Mytilus edulis: one gene and its partner. The protein of the gene in region 2 interacts with the protein of the main gene of each other region in a biochemical or structural test. Links are inferred from orthologs where the notes say so. Each region holds a gene or a part of one and is shown on either strand. Other genes may lie near its edges. The genes, in order: F-BAR domain only protein 2-like and disabled homolog 1-like.

What was found.
Region 1: the proteins of disabled homolog 1-like (region 2) and F-BAR domain only protein 2-like form a complex in vitro, tested with the Homo sapiens proteins (2 studies listed by BioGRID). The link is inferred for Mytilus edulis from reciprocal best matches to the Homo sapiens genes DAB2 and FCHO2.

The regions. Positions count from the first base shown.
Region 1 is NC_092344.1:9,085,183-9,097,742, forward strand, and holds the start of F-BAR domain only protein 2-like, read left to right. Parts: upstream 1-6,313; 5' UTR 6,314-6,415; coding exon 6,416-6,442; intron 6,443-10,043; coding exon 10,044-10,135; intron 10,136-12,560. UniProt on the Homo sapiens protein: Functions in an early step of clathrin-mediated endocytosis. Has both a membrane binding/bending activity and the ability to recruit proteins essential to the formation of functional clathrin-coated pits.
Region 2 is NC_092344.1:59,955,104-59,968,024, forward strand, and holds the start of disabled homolog 1-like, read left to right. Parts: upstream 1-7,672; 5' UTR 7,673-7,755; intron 7,756-7,922; exon of another isoform or gene 7,923-8,139; intron 8,140-12,921. Other genes in the region: uncharacterized protein, read right to left, coding at 3,645-5,438. UniProt on the Homo sapiens protein: Adapter protein that functions as a clathrin-associated sorting protein (CLASP) required for clathrin-mediated endocytosis of selected cargo proteins.

The DNA of each region.
Region 1 (12,560 bases), about 51 Mb from region 2:
AGCACATGGATCTGTTTTGGTCTATGTAATTTGTACTACTGCATACCTTCACTGGATAAAAGGCAAGGCACATTTCAATCACATTATAAAATTACAAGAATTCAATGAATTAAAGAATAATGATATTGTACAAAATATTTTGCATGCATAAAATTTTCAAAATTACGATTGTAAATGTTTTTTTTCTATATAAGAAGAAATCATGGGAAAAAGATCTTGCAATACTTGAAATGGTATGATATACATTGCATTATCATGTAATTAAAGGGGGGGCACCCTCCTATCAGGTTCCCCATAATCTATCAGTGTAGTCTGTACAGCTGAGATTAAGAATAACATGAATGTGGCCAAACAGATAATGATGATGCCAAGGTTGTTATCAGTCTGTTACAACTAATTGTAGGACAACTGCTTAGCTTGTGGTCTTACCTAGTAAACTCCTGAACAAACTTGACACTTTAAAATACATATGCATTAATCCATTAAATAATCAATCTCTCCTGAATTTATATTACACTTTAAAACGTTTTAATAATGCAATCGTTTACAGCTTTAAAATTTTTTATGAAAATAGAGAAAACAACACCTTCCACAAAAATAAACACTTCAAAGTTAAAGCTATCCGTCAAATTAATCATACATATGTGCTTAGCGTGACAAATATGCACTTTTTGCATTACATATATAAATGTAATAGTAAGTATTAAATTTAAAAACAATATTGATATTCCTTACCCGATTTAAATATTTTCAATTATAATCCATACAGGATCTGAAGGCTTTATGAATATATCAATAAGTCTATAGTAAATATTTGGCATGGTATCATCAGAAAACTTTATCAGCTGTATGCTATCATTGTGTCACATCACAAAGTTCAAAAACTTGGGTAACCATCCAACTATGTCACTTAACCTGTAATATAACATTATCTTGTTATTAATAAGATATCTTCCTTAAGATAATTAATACAATAAGTATGATAAAACAGATCAATATACAATGTACGGGATATGTATTTTTTTCTAGTTCAAGGCTGACATCTCATGTAAAGTAAAAGTATATGCAAAAAAAAAAATACACAGAAGGGTCAGATGACAGCAAAACAAATAGATGTATTGTCATTTGGCCATTGTCATTTGTAATTTTTCAATTATCATATATGTATTGGAAATGCATTATATAAATAGATTACTGATGGTTTTTTTTCTACAAGATAAGGATCAGATATACATTGTAATGTACCAAGTTTCAAAAACATAAATAATCTGCTATTTTCCTAGACATTGTCAATAAGTTAATGTTAGTGACGGTGTCAATGACATATTGTTCATGATGTCTTCACATTCTCTTTCTACATGTACATCTAAGAAAACACATCTGAAATAGCCTGATGGAAAATTAACTAGTAGTGCATGTAGATCAAAGGGATTTTCTTAAAATTAGTCATAATTGAAGTTATAAGTATCATAAACTTTACCTAAGTAGCTGTCCTTTTATTTTATAAAGTTTAGGTCAGAATATCTAAATTAGGATTAAAGTAGCTCAAACTGCATTGTTTCACAATTAATATCATTTATTTTATCTATCTTTCAAGACTACATGTAGTTTGAAAAATACAGTACTTATAAATCTTGTAAAATGCTGAATAAAAATAAACGCAAGTTCCCATTATTACAAGGTTATTTTGATTGTTTTAAAATATTAAGTACATGTAATTACTTTATTTTAATCTAAATACATGTAATGGAACACTTTCAAGACAATAATATGCATATTTTAAACACATAAGTACAGTCTTGGTCTAATGTTATAAGTATTTATAGTTAGGATTGTATAATTTAAGTCTAAAGATCATATTACATAAAAATAAATGCAAAGTTATGACACAACAATATTTTATTCTATATTAAAATGAAAAATAATTTCCGGACAGTCATGACAGTGTGGTAAACAGACAAAAAAAAATTCAATTGCTGTTTTAAAATTGTCATCCAAAATATTTATCTAAGAAAAGTCAGCGTCCTGTTCATATTAACGTTTTTCCTACTCATTGTAATATCCGCAATTATATGTATCAATCTATCTCTCTAAATATACACATCCTGTTCTTATTATAGTTTCTATTACTAGAGATGTCCCAACTTACAACATAACTTATTTCTTATTTAAGTGTCTAACCTACCTCACATAAAATGCTTTCACAATGTTAAGTTATTTCTTATTTTTGTTCCCGTAAATAAATGGGAGATAATCCAATTTGAATCATGGTCAATCACCTATTACCATGATTACAAATGCATTTTACATCAGATACTTATGAAAAGTGTAAATCAGGTTGCAAGTCCGGATGTCTCTACTAAGTACTCACTTCTTACTATGAATAAATACATGTATGTTGTTGATGCTGTTTATCCTTTTCACGTAACAGTATTCCTCATTAAAAAAACATTTAGTTTATATTCCACTCACTTTTTTACTCTATCTGGGTTTTTTTTCAGTATTTCAGGCTTTTGCTCACTAACATCATTTAGTGAAGAGGTAAGACTTTGCTGTTTACACAAATCAATAGTTCTGACAGTATGATGCATCTACTGTCTGTAGGAAGGGTCAAGAAAGGGTAATTTTTGCTTAATTTAATACTTGACCGATCTGGTCATGAATGACGAAGACAAATAGTCAAATATCAGACTTACTATATGTCATGAATAATTATTCTCTTCTCCAGTTTGAACATCTTAATTTCAGACATTAATATAACTGACATTTTTGGAGTATCTTGCAATATACTTTATACACACAGTCATATTTATTATTTTTTTACAAAGACGCTTTATTGATTTGAAATTTACAAGTGTCAATAAATGGTGTAGAAGTCCAGACCTTAAAATATGACTGCAGTGACTAGAGATTACAATCCATAACTTAAAAAAACAGGAAATACATTAGAGTCCACAACATCAGATATCAGATTAAATAAATAAGTGTATCAACTAATGTAATTAATATTATCAATTTTCATTAAATCAGGAAATGTGATATTTTTGTTGATATTTAAAAGTATTCAATACAGTCTGATGTACAAAAAAATCAATATTTTACTTGACTGGTTTTACAAAAAAAGTTGTTTAGTCCCAAATACATGTTTTTTTTTGTACATATTTTATTAATATTATTCAATGCATACATCATTCATGTGGTTGGGATCTCTTTGTTTAAAACAAAAAGTTGTTTACTATATATAATCAGTGGCGGATCCAGGGGGGGGTTCCGGGGGTGCGCACCCCCCCTTTATTTTTGCCGATCAATGCATTTGTATCGGGACATATGTTTTGCACCCCCCCTGCACCCCCCCTTTGCCCTGGGTTAGCACCCCCCTTTCGAAAATTCCTGCATCCGCCCCTGCTAATTACACTAAATTTTCTCATTAGTTATAAAAGATCACTATTAAAGTCAGAAATGGAAGTAATATACTGACTTTCTTAATGCACCACACAAACAAACCTTAAGTCTCACATTAAAAATAAAATCTATATAACAGAAATCAAAAGAAACATGCATTCTAGGCCAGTAGATGGGATTATAATATCACTATATAGAGTTTTTCTTATATGATGAAATTGTAATTTTTTTTTAAAGTGAAATGCATGTTATATTGCGTCTGAGGATAATACTACAATAGGACTTGGAGAAAAACCTAGTACAGATAATTAGGAATAGTTCAAATTCGATGCGAATGACATAAAGAGATTGATATGTAGTTTACTGTCAATGAATGCCCGTGTATCCCAAACTCTGTCTATTCGACAAAAGATCATTCGGTCAGACAGAAATTTTCAAAATTTTTAGTTGAATATATCATGTATATAGAAGAAAAACGTCAAATTTCTTTTTCGGTCAGGCAAACCCTAAAAACAGTTTGGTGCAGACTGGAATGCTGTTGTAATTTTCATGTTCTGACAACATGTATGTAGATTTTTATCCTGCAAGGTGCAATCACTAATTATATATTATCATTTCTGTGACTTCCTATTGATAGAAAGGACAATATATATTTAGTGATTGCACCTTGCAGGAAAAATTCTACATGTGCTGTCAGAACATGAAAATTACAGGAAAAGGAGTTACATATGCCATTATAATAATAAATGGTGTTTACATGTATGATGGATGGAATATGGAGTTGTTACAAGGGTTATAAATCAAAATTAATTTACAAGATTATTTAGAGTACTCTTCAGAGGCGGATTTAGGGGGGGCCCGGGTCTCCCTTTTTGGGAAAAAAATTGGTTGCTTATATAGGGAATCACTGAAGCGTAACTGGAGCAGGCCCCCTCTTAGGCAGTCAGTGGGCCCCCACTTAAGAAAATTCCTGGATCCGCCACTCTCTTCATATCTTCTGCAAACTATTGTTTACATACAGGAATAAATACTGTCAATAAATATAAAATAACATAGTTTTTCCATAATCTTGATAAATAACAGTTATTTGTAGAGGTGGTTGATGCAATTCTTCCAGTCAACTTAAATTTATGAAGGGAAAAAAATATACTATTAGTAAATCACTAAACTATAAGTATTTAGTAATTACAAGTATATTTTATAAATACAACCTAGCTGTCAATCTGACTTTGACCATTTTGAACTTATTTCAACTTTTTAACCAGAACTTTTTAAATTCTTGGCCTAAAATCTTTAATTTTGGTTCATTTTAATGACAAAAATATTGATCTTTCAAACAGTTGTTGTGACTCTGACTTTATTAACATGTCTGTGATTACCCAATACAGTATTAACTTTGTTCACCATATCTTGATGTTGAGAGATAGGGTTTGGATAAGACTGTTTGCGATGAACAGGATAGCTGAAATGGTGTGAATTGTTTAAGTGTATGCCATGTGTTTTCTATTGTATGTGAACTTTGTAATGTCTGTATGATACAACCACAGTAGAAGATCCAGAAGGGGGGTCCAGGGGCAAAAATACTCCCTTTTTGAAATAGCTGGATCCACCCCTGCACCCAGTGTGAATAAATCGGTTGTCTTCTACAAGATGGTGTTTTTTTTTATGAATATGAATGCTCAGAGTTCTACATTTACCACATAGTGTACAGTACAAGGGAGTTCAACCAACCATTTATGATTTTTTTTTTACCCTCAACTATCTGGCACCCCCACAGAAATTAACTGTAATACATGTAATACATTATTATGTTACTTTAGTTTAGTTTACTGTTTGGGTGCCATATGGGATTCTTGTCCTATATGAACAGTATTTTTTTTGGAAGAAGCAAGTTGATGATCTTTTAAGTGAATTCAGTCACTAGTCAACATATATTTATTTTTTAATCGTCTTGTACCTACATGACTTTGTGCAATTAAATATTGCCAATGAGAGGGTTTTAATGGGGGTACCTGTAAGAGGAATAAAGGTAAAAATTCTTGTCAAATGACGTTAATATTGTCAATAACAGAATAAGAGGGTCTTAATGGGTAGTTGGTGCACGACGATAAAATGTACACTTTCTTTCAGACAATTAAAAAGATGGACTGATTTAGGCAATGAAATTTTTCAAAAAACACCAAAATGATAATCCCTGATATAAAAGACGAACTTAACCATAAAATGTCAAGTGTTCCACTGCATATGATTCGGGGTAAGTTCTTTATCTAAACAAGGATGTGTATAAATCTAAATCTACTATACAATTTGCCATTTCAATTATATTAGGAATGCATTATGACGTCACGATTTCCATTGAAAAAGCATGCATAGTACGAAAACATGTGAGGTACGAAAACATATGATCTGACCATAGATTGTGGAGGGGCGTAAAGGGGTGGTATCTGCACAGAAGACTGCGAAATAAAATTGCCAGATAGCACGTTGAGATTTTTACCGATTTCACGAAACACGTCAAATAACGAACCTATTTCACGGTTGCACGTGAAATAAAAATGGCAAAACACGTTGCCCGAAAATTACCCTTTACCACCCTCATTGTGCCTTTACCACCCTCATTGTGCATCACTTCATGCATGTGTTCAAAAACTTTCAAAGACTGTAAATTAGTGAGTGTAAAATTGTCAAAGTTATCAAATTGTGGCCACATGGGGATACCAAAATCTATAACTTCAATTTTGTACGAAGCCTTATCTCTTTTTAAATAAATCCGAAATATTTCTGAGCTGTAAAGAAGAAATTGCCATGTGCATTTATACCTTTTTTGGTTTTTTTTGTACTTTCCCGGAAATTTTTAACTGACAGCTGACGACATATAAGCTTAGACCCGCAAGGTAAAAGATCGTTGGTTAAAGCGCTAATCTGAGTAAGAAAACGGATGTGCGCAAACGCAAAACAATCAAAATAATCGCCATTTTCATGGAACAAACCAGATGCAGTTTCAAAATTTAGGATGACAACTTTCTCAGATCATTTTTGGGTACTTAAATAAATAAGGTTTTCAGAGACGGACTATGAGATGACATTTACTTGAAAAAAGCTGCGAAAAAGCGACACCATTTCATGCAATTGACACTTGAAAAGGGGGTGTTGTCTAGATCATGTTTTATATTATCTTGTGTTCATATTTGCATTTTACCACTGTGCCTCAAATGCATATTCATATTCTGCATCCCAAGTACTATTTCATTCATTTGAATATTTGATATAATATCAGTATCATTTCTGTGACAAGGAAACAATTTATAACCTTGAAGCTCTTTAGACTTTACCTTTAGTTACTTCCCTTTCCATTTATTCACCAGGATACAATCAATAAACCTTATTACTATAAGTAAATCTGCAACACTTGATCTTATGATGTCAAACAATCACTTTTCCTTAGTGGCATCAGGCATTTGTTATGATGTAGAAATTCTACAGGAACTTTTGTGATGTCTAGAAATTGGCGATAAGGTGTAAAGACCAATGTTGAGTTTTTCAGGGTCATAGTTTACAAAGACTCAAGTTGATTGATTATGTAACTCTGGACTCTGAATCTACTATTCTACAAATTCTGTCCCTTTACTTCCAATGAAGATTCTTATCTTAAGACCAATCCATTGACTTATATATATATCAATATTAACGTCTTGCATGTCCATATGACCATGCAGTGATGCACTCAGAAAACTTCCACCTTGTCTGGAATTTAGCACAATTTTATATATTTTAATGTTGCTTCCTGACACTGATGTATTTTGACATCACTTATATTAATTGCTAGGCGTTGAATAAACTCAATTTATAAATGACAACAATCTGGATTTAGAGAAAAACATTCATGCCACACAGCACTTATCAAAATAATTGACAAATGGTTAGAAGAATTTGACAAAGGCAATTTTACTGCTGTTTTATTTCTAGATTTTAAAAAAGCATTTGACACTGTAAATCATAACATCTCATTATCGAAACTGAATTTATATAAATGTGATGATCACTCTGTTAAATGGTTTTCATCCTATCTCTCAAATAGATTGCAAAAGGTTAAAATTGGAACAACTGAATCAGGATACAATAATGTAACATTTGGGGTCCCACAAGGTTCCATATTAGGACCTTTATTATTCTTAATCTATATAAATGATCTCCCGTTTGAATTAGAACACACAGAGTCTGAATTATATGCCGATGACACAACTTTGCATTTATCGTCCAAATCTATTTCAAACTTAAACTCTTATTTAAATAAAGACTTTGAAAACCTAATTGAATGATGTGATAAAAACAATATGATAATAAATAACAAGAAGTCCAAATGTATGCTTATGGAATCTGAGAGAAAACTTGAGAATTGTAACGATGTCTTGTGTGTATTATCACAAAATCAAACTGCATTTGACAATGTAGAAGTGGAAAAACTTCTTGGTATCCATATTGATAAAAATCTATCATGGTCAATTCACATAGATAAAGTATGTGAAATATTTTCAAGCAGATTATACCTGCTAAAAAGATTAAAACGATACTTACCTCGCAAAGGTCTTATCCTTTTTTATAATAGTTATATATTACCGATAATTGATTATTGTTGCAGGATATGGGGTTTTACCGCAAATTGCAACATTGAGCTGATTCATAAACTACAAAAGCGCACAGCAAGATTAATTTTGAATAAGCCTTTTGATTATCCATCAATATCAATGTTTAAAGAACTTAATTGGATGACCATTTTTACTCGGATAAAATATTTTCAAGCCACTTTAATGTTTAAATGTATGAATGGACTAGCGCCAGATTATCTTACAATTAAATTTACTGCGTGCAGTGATTTATATAGTTATTCTCTTAGGTCAACAACATCTGGACATCTTCATATACCAAGGCCAAAGTCTGAATACTTCAAAAAGACTTTTCAATATTCTGGTCTAATCATTTGGAATAATTTCCCAAATGATTTAAAGGATTTAAGACATATACAGTGTTCTAGGATTTTTTTGGCACCTTGACTTACCACGGGTAAGATCAATAAAAAAATTACTTACCCACATCTAAAAGTTAAATCCGCCAACCAATGCGGACGGGGCAAAGCATACCCCCTGGTCCTTTTTTCAACATCATACAGTTTGTCTCTCTGCTTTTTGTCAAGTTTGGGCTTTTTTGGTGGGGGTGATGCTTGATTTATATCGTTTAGCCTTTTTGAAGTAAATCCAAACTTATGCAAACTCATGAAACTTTGAATATTGTAATTTACTGAACAAAGCTGGATTCGGATACGATTGAATTTTGTACAAAATTAAAAAAAAACGATTTCTTACTAAATTTGACAAATATGTTATAGTTATTACTATGTCATTTATTAAGAGCTATAATAAATGCAACTGTAAGTTTATTTTCCTCTGATGACAAGAAAAAAAATCGTTTATGTCCCGATTTAAGCACCAGTTATCAATCCGGATTTTTCGATTTTACCGACACCGTGACCGACTTTTAGAATGATAGGAGAAGAATGTGGTCTCTTTTGCGCTTGATTACACCTAGTAAACGAGTGCTTGAATAAAAGCGCCGATAGACATCGACAAAATCTTCGATCTTTTATCAAAGTTTTTTCTCGTGATTTAATAAAAATAAAAAGCAGATATGGGAAAATTGAAGAGGACCGGGAAATTTCAAGAGTTTTTCGGCTTCCCCGAACTTGAAAATTGACTTACCACCGGGTGACAAAGGCTAAAAAATGACTTACCCGTTGTCCTAATCCACTTACCCCGGGTAACGGGTAATGGGAATCCTAGAACACTGCATATAGAAAGCTTTAAGATGAAATGTGTTAATCTCTTTATCATAAAACAAAATGAGTAGTCAAACTTTTTTAGGACATTCTTGCCATGCTAGTTCTACAGTCTGTTTTCATGCTTGTGTATATATATATTTGTAATTGTGTACATATCTATTGATTATTGTTCTATATGAATTATTCATTTAAATGTGTGAAGGCCTTGTGTGAGATTAACAATTGTATGTTAAATGAGTTACCTTCGTTAAATAAAGAATTTATTATTATTATTATACCAAACGCATTTATCTACTTAACACAACAATTTATCATGCTTTGATTGACTGGAAATTGGTTCAACAATTGAAATGAAGATTTCTAAAATATGCATATTTTAGGAATTTCAAAATGTGACTGAAAATATAAATTTGCCTTAGCTGACAATGGCTGATGTGGAATCTTTGAAATGTTTTATAAAAATTGCTCAAAACAAATCCGCTTTTCCTGTACATGTGTTGTTCCTAGGATATCTGGAAATTTTCTTGTATTTGTTTTTCTTTGCCAAAATTGTATAAAGAAAATTTGCTTATAATAATTGAAATCGTCCCTTAGATCCTTAAACAATTAGTTACATTGAAACAGGTCAGAAAACACCTGATGTTTTAAAAAAAAACTACATGTACATGTACTTAAAAAAACAATGTTGACTAAATGGCAAAAAAAGATATAAATTATGAAATATATATGTGATTATAGTTGGGAAGGCAAGTATGTATCATGCTGTATCATTTTGGTCAAGTATAACCAATATTTTTTTTATTTTTAGGGAGAAAAGAACAATGGCTTCTATGTGCTGTATCATAATATGAAACATGGCCAGACGGCTTCTAAAGACTTCATAGACTTTCTGAGAGAAAGGTATTTTTAACTTCTAAAGACTTCATAGACTTTCTGAGAGAAAGGTATTTTTAACTTCTAAAGACTTCATAGACTTTCTGAGAGAAAGGTATTTTTAACTTCTAAAGACTTCATAGACTTTCTGAGAGAAAGGTATTTTTATACGACCGCAAAATTTGAAAAATTTTTCGTCGTATATTGCTATCACGTTGGCGTCGTCGTCGTCGTCGTCCGGCGTCCGAATACTTTTAGTTTTCGCACTCTAACTTTAGTAAAAGTGAATGGAAATCTATGAAATTTTAACACAAGGTTTATGACCACAAAAGGAAGGTTGGTATTGATTTTGGGAGTTTTGGTCCCAACATTTTAGGAATTAGGGGCCAAAAAGGGCCCAAATAAGCATTTTCTTGGTTTTCGCACTATAACTTTAGTTTAAGTTAATAGAAATCTATGAAATTTTGACACAAGGTTTATGACCACAAAAGGAAGGTTGGGATTGATTTTGGGGGTTTTGGTTCCAACAGTTTAGGAATTAAGGGCCAAAAAAAGGGCCCAAATAAGCATTATTCTTGGTTTTCGCACAATAACTTTAGTATAAGTAAATAGAAATCAATGAAATTTTAGCACAAGGTTTATGACCACAAAAGGAAGGTTGGGATTGATTTTTGGAGTTGAGGTCACAACAGTTTATGAATTAGGGGCCAAAAAGGGGCCCAAATAAGCATTATTTTTGGTTTTTGCACCATAACTTTAGTATAAGTAAATAGAAATCTATGAAATTTAAACACAAGGTTTATGACCATAAAAGGAAGGTTGGGTTTGATTTTGGGAGTTTTGGTCCTAACAGTTTATGAATAAGGGGCCCAAAGGGTCCAAAATTGAACTTTGTGTGATTTCATCAAAAATTAAAAAATTAAGTTTGATTTTAACAGAAATTGAATCCTTGGGGTTCTTTGATATGCTGAATTTAAAAATGTACTTAGATTTTTAATTATTGGCCTAGTTTTCAAGTTGGTCCAAATGGGGGTCCAAAATTAAACTTTGTTTGATTTCATCAAAAATTGAATAAATGGGTTCTTTGATATGCCAAATCTAACTGTGTATGTAGATTCTTAATTTTTGGTCCAGTTTTCAAATTGGTCTACATTAAGGTCCAAAGGGTCCAAAATTAAACTAAGTTTGATTTTAACAAAAATTAAATTCTTGGGCTTATTTGATATGCTTTATCTAAATATGTACTTTGATTTTTGATTATGGGCCCAGTTTTCAAGTTGGTCCAAATCAGGATTCCATATCAAGTATTGTGCAATAGCAAGAAATTTTCAATTGCACAGTATTGCACAATAGCAAGAAATATCTAATTGCACAATATTGTGCAATAGCAATTAATTTTCAATTGGAGTTATCTTTCTTTGTATAGAATAGTAGTTGATAATATATATTGGAAATTTGCCAGACATGACTATCAGGGATCTCCATGGCCTATTTAACGATGGCGCCCCGCCATCGTTCAAATGTCATGCGCCATCGTCAAATGACTCGCGCCATCGTTAAATTGTCTTGCGCCATCGTTAAATGTCTTCCGCCATCGTTCAAAACTTCATCGTTTTTTGTAGCCCGACGCCATTTTTTTTATCAATTATAATCAAATGCATGTAATTGCATAACCCTTAGGCTTTTTATGTTATAATCCAATACAGTTCTAACGCCTGAGGAATCTACGGATTAAGATCGCTTATCACTTGTACCTGAGCTTGTACAGGTAGATCAACAAACCAGACACGAGAATACTATCTGAGGATAGACGATTCATTTGTCGAAATAATCAACTAAGTTTTAGCAAATGATTATGATAATTTAGATTAAATAAATAAATTAATAATCCAGTTGCAAAGAAAACAGTTTAACAAGTCGAACACGTGCTTTGTTTTGACTTACGCAATCAGCATCCCCCTTTTTTAAGAAGTACAAAATAAGACGCAAGTAACTCGAGTACTGCTGTAACAATAATTTAGAATTACTTTAAAAGTTTAAAAGTAAAAACTTTAAATATTTTCTGTAAAGAAGTATCGTATCGTAATTCCGAATTCATTTCGTATATTACAATCAATTTGATACATCCGCGTTTCCGGTTTCTATTCAGACTCGAAAGATACATGTTACACAGCATCAATTTGCCAGATAAAGTCATTAAAAACCTGTTCATTTGTCAACGTTTGCTTTACAAATCTCTTTAACCTTTTACATAACCCGTACGAATCGTTTTGTTGTTGATGCAAATCAGCCATACCGGTAATGGGTTCTGAATTTGACAGTGTCCATGAAAAATAAGCTCCACATCATATGATTTTTAACCCCCATAACAATTACCAAAAAAACAAGAAATCTACATGGGGACCGTCATGACAGCCTTTGGTCATTCTCGACTAAGGGGGGACCATGAAGA
Region 2 (12,921 bases):
TCACATATTTAGAACGTAAAATTATTTTTTTTTTGACTGAAAGGTAAGTTTATCAGCCTGTACAACTATAAACACAGGACCTGTAAATTATACCATCTACATGCCTTCTTACATCACGTACTATGCTACAAAATGAGACCGAGGGAAACCATTATGATTCGACTAATGAAAGCTCAATGTTTTTTCTGTCCGAATGGTCTATGTTGCTTGTATATAATAACAAGAACATGTGAAAGTTTCCAAGAAGTCTGTCAAACAGAGCAGTGGTAGATACCAAAGTTGGACGGTCGAGAAGTCTGTCAAACAGAGCAGTGGTAAATACCAAAGTAAGACGGTCGAGAAGTCTGTCAAACAGAGCAGTGGTAGATACCAAAGTTGGACGGTCAAGAAGTCTGTCAACAGAGCAGTGGTAAATACCAAAGTTGGACGGTCGAGAAGTCTGTTAAACAGAGCAGTGGTTGATACCAAAGTTGGACGGTCGAGAAGTCTGTCAAACAGAGCAGTGGTAAATACCAAAGTTGGACGGTCGAGAAGTCTGTCAAACAGAGCAGTGGTAGATACCAAAGTTGGACGGTCGAGAAGTCTGTCAAACAGAGCAGTGGTAAATACCAAAGTTGGACGGTCGAGAAGTCTGTCAAACAGAGCAGTGGTAGATACCAAAGTTGGACGGTCGAGAAGTCTGTCAAACAGAGCAGTGGTAGATACCAAAGTTGGACGGTCGAGAAGTCTGTCAAACAGAGCTGTGGTAGATACCAAAGTTGGATTGTCGAGGAGTCTGTCAAACAGAGCAGTGGTAAATACCAAAGTTAGACGGTCGAGAAGTCTGTCAAACAGAGCAGTGGTAAATACCAAATTTGAACGGTCGAGAAGTCTGTCAAACAGAGCAGTGGTAGATACTAAAGTTGGAAGGTCGAGAAGTCTGTCAAACAGAGCAGTGGTAGATGCTAAAGTTGGACGGTCGAGAAGTCTGTCAAACAGAGCAGTGGTAGATACTAAAGTTGGACGGTCGAGAAGTCTGTCAAACAGAGCAGTGGTAAATACCAAAGTTGGACGGTCGAGAAGTCTGTCAAACAGATCAGTGGTAGATACCAAAGTTGGACGGTCGAGAAGTCTGCCACATTTTAACTCTTTCAAATGTATTGTTATAAATTATTTTTAAGGTCATTTTTTTAAAATGTTTACTAGTATACAAAAAAAAAATGACTAAAATACACGAGGACAGATAACCTTGCCCACGGAAAATTAAATTTTAGTGATCTTTACCAGTGTATAGGTTACTTTTAGGATACTTTCTTCTTCAAATAACAGAACAGTCAATATGACTGATATGTATCTGGTATAGGAAAAGAACAGCAATGAAAAACAATCCCTTTTATAATTTATAGTATAATTGTCTTAAAACACATACATAACCAGCCATTCATAATCTACAGTCCTTATAACCACTTATCTTTATTTGATTAAAATTAAAGTGGAAATTGATTGTTTCCTCATAATTATCATTTATATACCAAAATCTGATAGCAGACAATTCAAATACTCTAGAATGCAATTTCTATTTTAAAACTTTTTAAGAAATAACAAAATTCGGTATTGCCGGAAAGTTTTGTCTGAGTGTTATATCATTCAAGAAATACGTCGAACTGTTAGAACTTACTGAAGACCATAGACGAGGGTATTGATGGGGTCCACAAAATAGAGAAGGAGAATAATGAGCCAATCCTACAAAAAAATAAAGATAAAGTAGAGAATAATTGGGTGCGTAAATATAAAGAATATGGAACAATGGGACGAAAATATAAGAAATAGAGAAAATGACATAAAATATTAAAGAATACAAAAATGGTTGACCCAACCCAAACCTCATTTATGTAATGGTTTAATGAGAAATCTGATAATGGCACATATGATACGTCAAAGGGTGAAGGCATGACAAATATCTTGTACAAAACTGTTATATCAGCTGTAGCAATCGAACACTATCATCTTTATCTAACAAGAGGTTCTTGAGAGCATTTGTCGCTCAGCTAAGTATTCATCAAATGGCCACACTCCAACATTAAACACTAGAATACTCAATATACATTGAAGACCTGTTGGTGACCTTCTGCTGTTGTCTGTTCTATGGTCGGGTTGTTGTCTCTTTGAAACATTCCCCATTTCCATTCTCAATTTTATTCATGACTCAAATTCTCTTTTTTATTGATTAATTTTTTTGTTTATAATTTCTTTCTACTATAGTTTTGCCCAAAGTGCAAAATTGCGTACAAAATCCTCATCCGTACAGGTGAATAACTCCTATGATTAGTGGACTGACAAAGTAGAAATTAATATTTACTCTCAATTCAAAAATCTCATTTAAGGGCAATAACTCCTTTGCTGAGTTTACCGACAGTTTCATGGAGCTATATTTGACTTATTTGCAGACCCTAATTGTCTAACTGTTTATTTTTGATTTGTGAAGTTTCTCTTTTTTACTTTAGTTAGTGGCCCAAAATACATACAAACTAATAAAAAAACTGATTTCGGGACAATAACTCCAATAAGGAGTTGACAGATAATTTGGCCATGTTTAAAAAAATGTAGCTGAACTTTTTTCTTCTTTTATAAATATAGTTTAAAAAAAATTAGACAAAAACGCAACAATTGTCATTTTATGGCAACATTAAAGGGTTGACAATTTCTTTGTTGTCTTATTTGTAAATCTTGTCTTGCTGATCTCTTTTTCCATTTTAGAGTTTCTCTCTATTTATAATAGTTTACAAACAAATAAAAACAGGCAAAACCACAAAAATGGTAAACATCGTGGTTTAAGGGCAATAACTTACTCTTACTATTACAAACAATAAATTAACAAACAACACACTTAAAAGTAATACCGTTTAAATGAATACTTTCACCGAAGTATTTATAATCTGTCTATATGTGACAATCGCCATCCAATAAGCCTAAGTAATATTGACGTATGCACTTCCGAGCAGTTTTCCTGTTCGGCAACGTCATAAAAAACACAGGTACACACGACAAATCTGAATTCCAATAAGGGCTTGGAAGCGACAGTTATAATATAATATAAATGATGCAATGACCGAAGCACAATCACCACTCAGCAATAAGTGCATCAAGCTAAAACACCGATTTAAAAGACAACATCAAACCTTTTTACTAAAAAAAAATCTTGAAACGCAAATTTGTCTGCACCAGTTTCAACCAAATTCCAGTAGACATTACTGCACCTCCTCAATATAAATCTGTTCATTTAAGAAAAAAATCAGCATTAGTTTTTGTTGATTCATGACATCCATCATTTTCAGTGACAAACAAAGGACGATAATTCAAATGTCAAGCTTAAGTTTTATGTCGTTAAATTGATTAGAGTTATCTTTCTTTGTCTGATTAATATAATGTAGCTCTATCATGTCTATATCAAGTCCAAATAATTTTCAAGACGTCATAATTATTTGGACTAGTCTATATCTACATGAACCATGACTATTTCATTTCAATGTGAAAAGAAATGTTTTTCAGTAACAAATCTCAGTGTATTCTTTTGTGTCTATACATGTCGTGCTGACCATCAAGGGCATTGATTGCAATAATAGGTATTCTTATTTTTATTGTAATATAAAACAATAAATTGTCGTCTACTTGCAAACTGTATAAATATCAATAGATACTCCGTCGTCATTAATAATCATTAACCTTTGAGAATCTTGATCAAATGCCAGACCCCAAGGATGATGTATTCCTTCGTCTAAGACCATGGATTTAGTTCCTCTGTTTGACAACCGATGGATATTTCCAGATTCGTACCCAGCAACAAACACGTGACCTAAGCCATCTGTAGCGAGTCCAGATGGACCAACCAACGTTTCAGATCTGCAGATAAATTGTGACCGCTCTCGCGCAATGCATTGGACTTCATCGCCGTTGTTACTTGTCCAGTAAATGGAGCCGTTTATTCCTGCGCTTAAAAGCAACGGGTCATATTTGGTGTTTATTTTGAAAATGGAAATTCCCGCGCGATCGAGAATGCTTATTTTGCAGTGTCCACTCCGGACGATGATTTGATCGTCAATGCAGGAAATCGCAGTGCATTTCCCGCCAGGTCTTATAAATCGATCTGGTCTACATTCACTGTCGGTGATATCAAAAACTTGTATACCCCTCTCGCCTGCTGCGACAACGGCTGTATTCCTGTCAAACAGGGCAACATCATGTGGAAAGTACAGCAATGGAATTTTCTCGGTCATTGACCCGTACAGGTTACATACAAATATAAATCTATTCTGCGCATCGCATAAAAGCATATGCTTCCCTGAGATAAAACAGCCACGTGAAACTGTGATATTTTCTCCTAAAGATGAAGACGTCGGGAATTTTTTGTATAGTACTAGCTGTATAATCGAGGGAGTTTGAGGTACAAGTTTTATTAACGACAGTTCACTTTCTTTGAAATTACTAACGGATCGAGTTGATACAGGTCTAGGTACAATCTTGCTCTCTGTTGGACTTTCCCATTGTTTGCTGGTCGGCCTAGGTGAAGTTGTTTTTTCAGTGAAAGCAGATTTGACTCGATTGATAACTTTAATATCGACCCAACCCATTGCATTGTAAAGCGATGCCAATTGTTCTTCGTTTTGGGTGAAATCGATTTCCAATGGTTTATATCTATCTCTGAAGTTACTTATGATATCTTCAGTTCTTGGTTTAGTCTGTTCAAACTTCTTTACAATTGTGAACTTATAAGGTTCAGAACCATTCTTTCTCATTAATTCAATATCACTATCGTGAATAGACATCAGGTCTTTATTATGTTGAAGCTGGGAAATTTCATCATCTATTTGTTCAACACAGGAGTCGTATTTCACACTGAGACTGTTTAGTAGTTCTTCTTCTAGTTTTGTTAGATGATCTATGATTTCAGACTTTGTTTTCTTAATTGTTTCTTGAATTGTCTTGTTTTGTTGATCAAGGTTTGCTAGATTTTCTTTCCTGGTATTTATCAGTTGGTTTAAAGAGTCGGCAAGTTTTAATGCTTGCTTTTGTAGAACATCAAAATAGTCGTTACTACTACTGCGCGGTCTCTCTGGCATTAGCTGCTCAATTGCAGTAATATATTTACAGTCCTTGTGTGTTTGTAACAAACAGGTTTGGCAAATCAGCTGGTCATGTCTATTGCAGTAGAAGGTCACTCTTAAATCGGAATGAAGATCACATAAGAAAGACGTAGCCATTAGAAATGATTTAGTATTCTTAACATCCCGGAGACGGATAAGTTTATGCGAGGTTGTGAATCTAGACTTTTTATGGACCTTCCCACAATCCTCACATAATGCTTCGGCACAGTCACAACACCAGTGTTTGGCTTCAACATTATCATTGTCCCTTAGACAAGCAGCGCATATTTCGATATTGACTTTCTTTTCCTTTTCCATCTGAAAGTGTAAAAAGTCATGTTTTCTATTGCTATTATAAACAACGGTACGCCTAGTAAATAACAATGGGGCACCTGTGTTATCAAAGGATTGAACCCTTTCCTTATTCCCTCGAGATGACATTTAAAAATTATCATGCATGAAAGTATATCAGAAATATGCTGGACAGTTCCACTACCAACACCAAATATATATGTAAGATAAGTTTCGCAGAATCAAATAATATGCCTGTACGAAGTAAGGCTATCTGAGCTTTGTATTATTCGTTGTTATTTGTAAGTATGTTTTCTGCGAGGGGTTTATTGCTGTTTGTACTAGTAAGTCATAGTGTGGTGGAAGGTTGAATATCAATGTTAATACCTTCTGTCATATGTATAAAATGGTTAGTAGCAATTGTTATTAAACTGCCACCAAATGTATAGCAGATTGGACAAGAAAAATTCTATCATAAGTGTATAAGTTCAGATTTATTATTTCTTCCATAGATCAACACACAAACGGATTGCTGAGCAAAAAAAAAAAAAAAAAGAAATGAACTCATAACCTTAGAAAATGCTAGATTAGAATGAGTTGAAAGTATGAGCTGACGAAAATGAAAGATAAAGAGGTCCGAATGGATTTACGGATTAGATAATAATTGGCAAAACATTAATGACAGTGAGAAATAGAACAACAAAAAAAAGGAATAAAGAATGGAATTTTCAAATATTAAGAAAATTATAGCTACGGTAAAAAAATACAAAAATTACAAATAAAGAAAACAGGATAACTGCTATAAAATGTATGCATACAGAAATGACAGACTCCCTCTAAAAATATAAATAAAATCCAGACACTCTTACTAGGCATTATCGTTTGAATTGATTTATATGTGGCATTTTGTGGCCATTTCTAGCTGACTATGAGATATGGGCATTGTTCAATGTTGATCGTTACTGTGACCTATAGTTGTAAATTTCTGTGTCATCTGGTCTCTTGTGAAGAGTTGTCTCACTTGGGCGTACATATCACATCTTCTTTAAATATACACCAAGTATACGCATGCAGCACTCATAACCACCCGTCTATATTTGCCTACGAAAGGAAAGCACCTCAGTTCATGTAAATAAAAAAGATTTAAGCTTGAAATATGTTTGTATAACGCTGATATCTTACCTTTCCCTTTTATTTTCTTTGAACTGTTTTAAGCTTCTTTAGATAAATTGTCGATATATTCCTATTATAATATGGTAAAACTTATATATGCGACAAAAGCACTGATGCGGATCAGTAATTGTTTTGAAGAAGTAATAATTGAAATTAAAACTTGAAATATAATCATTTATCAAATTGACAATAGTATATATAAACTAAAATAGTAATAGTCTGATATGTTTTGATCAAAAGTTATGAGATCTAATATAGTTGCCCTTTACCAGATTTTTTCAATTTCACACACGAAAAGATTACAAAAATATCACATTAGAGATAAAAGACTTATTCATGTTTCAAATTTTATTGTTTTAGGGGCCTTTGACAGACAAGGGAGGGAAAGGGGGAAGGTTCCTTTTGTCCCATCTTACGGTATGTATATATATAGTTTACCAACTCGCTCTCTATGACCGTGAAGGTTGTAGTTCCTGACGTTTTAAATTAATGAAGGTAAATTATATCCGAAACTGATTTATAATTTATAAAGTCAGGCATTTCGTTACCGTTTTTTGTTTTTGGATCATATATAGAAATCTGATCAAAATGAAATGTAATATTTATGACGACACGAGGACGGAGGTTCAACAAGAAAGTACACAGGTGAATTAATGAAAAACTTGATAGAAATCGTGTTTCCATGATCCTAGTCAAAAAATGTAATTATATTAAAGTAAATATGCTTCTTTTAGTAATTTTATAGGGTTTTAAAAGCATTAACCATGCGCATATTTTTTAAATTTCGGTCAACGTTTTTACTTAAAAAAAATTACAAAAAGAAACATGAAATTCTCAATTGAAAATTTTGTTCAGTCAAAACGCATGAAATATTTGTCACTGGACGAAAAGAAAACTTGAGAATCATCAATCAATCCGGCAATCCGTAATTTCATTTCAGTCAGGTTATGTCCATCGTTTCAGTTTATGGCTTTAAGTGTTGCTGGCATGTAAAACATAAATACTCAATGACTTCTGTTCTTTCTTTAATATAGAATAAAATACCATGTTGATTTTAATACTCATTTTCGAATATTCAAGTCCTTACCGTGGTTGGTTTCTTTTTAGTTTGATTTTGGTTTGTTTTGATGCATGATCGCCCACGAGAAAATGGGTACATGAATAACAAAGGGTAAGTGAACATTTCTATAAACTGTCAGACAAAAGTTAATAGATTTTTGAATTTCTTAAAAATTATGTGTTCCTTCATCCTAATTTATTCACAGTTTTGTTCACAGAAATTCGCTTTATTTTTGGATCACCTGATCTCAACTTCAGAAACGGGGTCAAAGTTGTTGAACCATTTCATTTCACTTTGGAATCCTTAAAATTGGTAAAATACAAACCAGGAAATGTTCTACTAGTTTAGAAAAATATTCACATGTTTTCAACTTGTAATTTCCTAATAAGGAACGGTTAATTGCCGAGATAATAGTGTGTATCTGAAATGTACATGCTACACGCCCCCTTTTACGATATAATATTGATAAAGTGTACCACTTTGGAATATCACAAAGTAATTATTATGTTATGAAGAAGAAAAAGATAATATTCACATAGATTAAGATTTTATACACTGCTAAAGGAATCAGAATTGAATACTTTAATTTCTTGTGTATCAATCATGTAAATGTAAGTTTCTTGTACTGTACACATGTACAATGATGTAGATGCAGGTAATATTAATTATTACATTTGTCAAATCTCCTTGTATAAGAATAATTTTTCAATGTTGACACTTGACAATTGTAATCTTTTGTACTTATTGTTGATGGTTACACTACATTTACAACTTGTTTTTACTATACCATGTCATTTACATACAGTTGTACCACATCTTCAATTCCTATATCTACATATAAACAAAAATTCTCCAAACCTCTTCAGAAGAGCATCATTGAAAATGGGTTAACCACAATTTTTCAAAGTTAAAAAAAAATGAGATTTTTTTTTAAAAAGACTGACATGTAACATAAATATCGGTACATATGAATTACTGCAAAATTGATGAATTATTTTATTATTGTTTCAGCTATTGTAGAATCATCTTATTTTTATGCCCCATTTACGATAGTAGAGGGCATTATATTTTCTGGTCAGTGCATCTGTTCAGCTGTCCATTCGTCCATCTGTCCGTTCGTCCGTCTGTCTTTAGGTTAAAGTTTTTGGTCAAGGTAGTTTTTGATGAAGTTGAAGTTCAATCAATTTAAAACTCAATACACATGTTACCTATGAAATGATCTTTTTAATTTAAATGCCAAATTTGATTTTTTACCCCAATTTCACGGTCCACTGAAGATAGAAAATAATAATGAGAGTGGGGCATCAGTGTACTTTTGACACATACAATGTACTTGGTTTTTGTATACATGTATACAAATGTACCTCATATATCTCTCATTTAATTTATTTTGGATTCAGATGTACATGTACATAACATCTTTGTTGTGATGTTATGCTATTGTTTCAGAAAAAGGGAGAAGGTTTGGATCCATTAAAACGTTTAATCCCGCTGCAAATGTTTGCACCTGTCCTAAGTCAGGAATCTGATGTACAGTAGTTGTCGTTTGTTTATGTAATATATACGTGTTTCTCGTTTCTCGTTTTGTTTATATAGATTAGACCGTTGGTTTTCCCGTTTGAATGGTTTTACACTAGTAATTTTGGGGCCCTTTATAGCTTGTTGTTCGGTGTGAGCCAAGGCTCCGTGTTGAAGGCCGTACTTTAACCTATAATGGTTTACTTTTTAAATTGTTATTTGTATGGAGAGTTATCTCATTGGCACTCACACCACATCTTCCTATATCTATGTATTGTTAATGAGCATTCACTTTAATGAGGGTCACTCCAACCTACATATGTATATGCATTTACATTAGCTTATTGCCCTAAAAAATAATATTAACAACCCAACTCTAGTTTTAAGTGTCTCCCCTTAATGATTTTAAAAATTTTTGAACAAGCACAACATTTGCACAAGGCACATACTATTTTTTCTGCTGTTAAAACCAATTTAAAAGTAATATTACCTACATTTGTTACTTCCAAACTCAATGATATAAGTTTTAAACCAAGTTGGGTCAAACCAAAGAATTGGTATTTTCTGCTTCTCTGCAAAACACCCAGAGAAGATATACTTGTAATTCAATGGTCCAGATAGCTTCCCAAGTTTGATGGCGGTGTCATATGGTATTTTGAACCCCCTAAAAAGTGAACCCGGGGTCAAAATACCATGCGGTAAAATGACCCCGGGGTCATTATACCGCATGGTATTTTGACCCCGGGGTCATTTTTCACATATGGTATTTTGAACCCCCCTGCGGTATATTGAACCCCCCTGTTTTTGATAAATAGTATTGCAGATAATCTAATTTACAATTTATTGGCTATCATTTTTTTTAATTTGTGCTTTTAAGTAGGGGGTTCAATATACCGCAGGGGGGTCAAAATACCATGGCTAAGTAAAATTTTCAAAATATCTTTTCCAGTATATTAAATACATACAAACTACTCATTGGAGTATTATAACTATGTTGAGGAGTAAGAATAGCTTGAATTTTTGAAATTCAAGGTCTATAGTAGGGGGTTCAATATACCGCAGGGGGGTCAAAATACCATGGCTAAGTAAAATTTTCAAAATATCTTTTCCAGTATATTAAATACATACAAACTACTCATTGGAGTATTATAACTATGTTAAGGAGTTAGAATAGCTTGAACTTTTGAAATTTAAGGTCTATAGTAGGGGGTTCAATATACCGCAGGGGGGTCAAAATACCATGGCTAAGTAAAATTTTCAAAATATCTTTTCTAGTATATTAAATACATACAAACTTCTTATTGGAGTATTATAACTATGTTAAGGAGTTGAAATAGCTTGAACTTTTGAAATTCAAGGTCTATAGTAGGGGGTTCAATATACCGCAGGGGGGTCAAAATACCATGGCTAAGTAAAATTTTCAAAATATCTTTTCCAGTATATTAAATACATACAAACTACTTATTTGAGTATTATAACTATGTTGAGGAGTAAGAATAGCTTAAATTTTTGAAATGCAAGGTCTATAGTAGGGGGTTCAATATACCCCAGGGGGGTCAAAATACCATGGCTAAGTAAAATTTTCACAATATCTTTTCCAGCATATTAAATACATACAAACTACTTATTGGAGTCTTATAACTATGTTGAGGAGTTAAAATAGCTTGAATTTTTGAAATTCAAGGTCTATAGTATGGGGTTCAATATACCGCAGGGGGGTTAAAATACCATGGCTAAGTAAAATTTTCAAAATATCTTTTCTAGTATATTAAATACATACAAACTACTTATTGGAGTATTATAACTATGTTAAGGAGTTAGAATAGCTTGAACTTTTGAAATTTAAGGTCTATAGTAGGGGGTTCAATATACCGCAGGGGGGTCAAAATACCATGGCTAAGTAAAATTTTCAAAATATCTTTTCCAGTATATTAAATACATACAAACTACTTATTGGAGTCTTATTACTATGTTGAGGAGTTAGAATAGCTTGAATTTTTGAAATTCAAGGTCTATAGTAGGGGGTTCATTATACCGCAGGGGGGTCAAAATACCATGGCTAAATAAAATTTTCAAAATTTCTTTTCCAGTATATTAAATACATACAAACTACTTATTGGAGTATTATAACTATGTTAAGGAGTTAGAATAGCTTCAATTTTTGAAATTCAAGGTCTATAGTAGGGGGTTCAATATACCGCAGGGGGGTCAAAATACCATGGCTAAGTAAAATTTTCAAAATATCTTTTCCAGTATATTAAATACATACAAACTACTCATTGGAGTATTATAACTATGTTAAGGAGTTAGAATAGCTTGAACTTTTGAAATTTAAGGTCTATAGTAGGGGGTTCAATATACCGCAGGGGGGTCAAAATACCATGGCTAAGTAAAATTTTCAAAATATCTTTTCCAGTATATTAAACTATACTTATTGGAGTATTATAACTATGTTGAGGAGTTAGAATAGCTTGAATTTTTGGAAATTCAAGGTCTATAGTAGGGGGTTCATTATACCGCAGGGGGGTCAAAATACCATGGCTAAGTAAAATTTTCAAAATTTCTTTTCCAGTATATTAAATACATACAAACTACTTATTGGAGTATTATAACTATGTTAAGGAGTTAAAATAGCTTCAATTTTTGGAATTCAAGGTCTATAGTAGGGGGTTCAATATACCGCAGGGGGGTCAAAATACCATGGCTAAGTAAAATTTTCAAAATATCTTTTCCAGTATATTAAATACATACAAACTACTTATTGGAGTCTTATATTAAACTATGTTGAGGAGTTAGAATAGCTTGAATTTTTGAAATTCAAGGTCTACAGTAGGGGGTTCATTATACCGCAGGGGGGTCAAAATACCATGGCTAAGTAAAATTTTCAAAATTTCTTTTCCAGTATATTAAATACATACAAACTACTTATTGGAGTCTTATAACTATGTTGAGGAGTTAGAATAGCTTGAATTTTTGAAATTCAAGGTCTATAGTAGGGGGTTCATTATACCGCAGGGGGGTCAAAATACCATGGCTAAGTAAAATTTTCAAAATTTCTTTTCCAGTATATTAAATACATACAAACTACTTATTGGAGTATTATAACTATGTTATGGAGTTAGAATAGCTTCAATTTTTGGAATTCAAGGTCTATAGTAGGGGGTTCAATATACCGCAGGGGGGTCAAAATACCATGGCTAAGTAAAATTTTCAAAATTTCTTTTCCAGTATATTAAATACATACAAACTTCTTATTGGAGTATTATAACTATGTTAAGGAGTTAGAATAGCTTCAATTTTTGAAATTCAAGGTCTATAGTAGGGGGTTCAATATACCGCAGGGGGGTCAAAATACCATGGCTAAGTAAAATTTTCAAAATTTCTTTTCCAGTATATTAAATACATACAAACTACTTATTGGAGTATTATAACTATGTTAAGGAGTTAGAATAGCTTCAATTTTTGAAATTCAAGGTCTATAGTAGGGGGTTCAATATACCGCAGGGGGTCAAAATACCATGGCTAAGTAAAATTTTCAAAATATCTTTTCCAGTATATTAAATACATACAAACTACTCATTGGAGTATTATAACTATGTTAAGGAGTTAGAATAGCTTGAACTTTTGAAATTCAAGGTCTATAGTAAGGCGTTCAATATACCCCTTCTATACCTTGAATTGCAAAAATTTAAGCCTTCTTACTCCTTAATATAGTAATAAACTCCAATAAGTAGTTTGTATGTACTAAACATGCTGGAA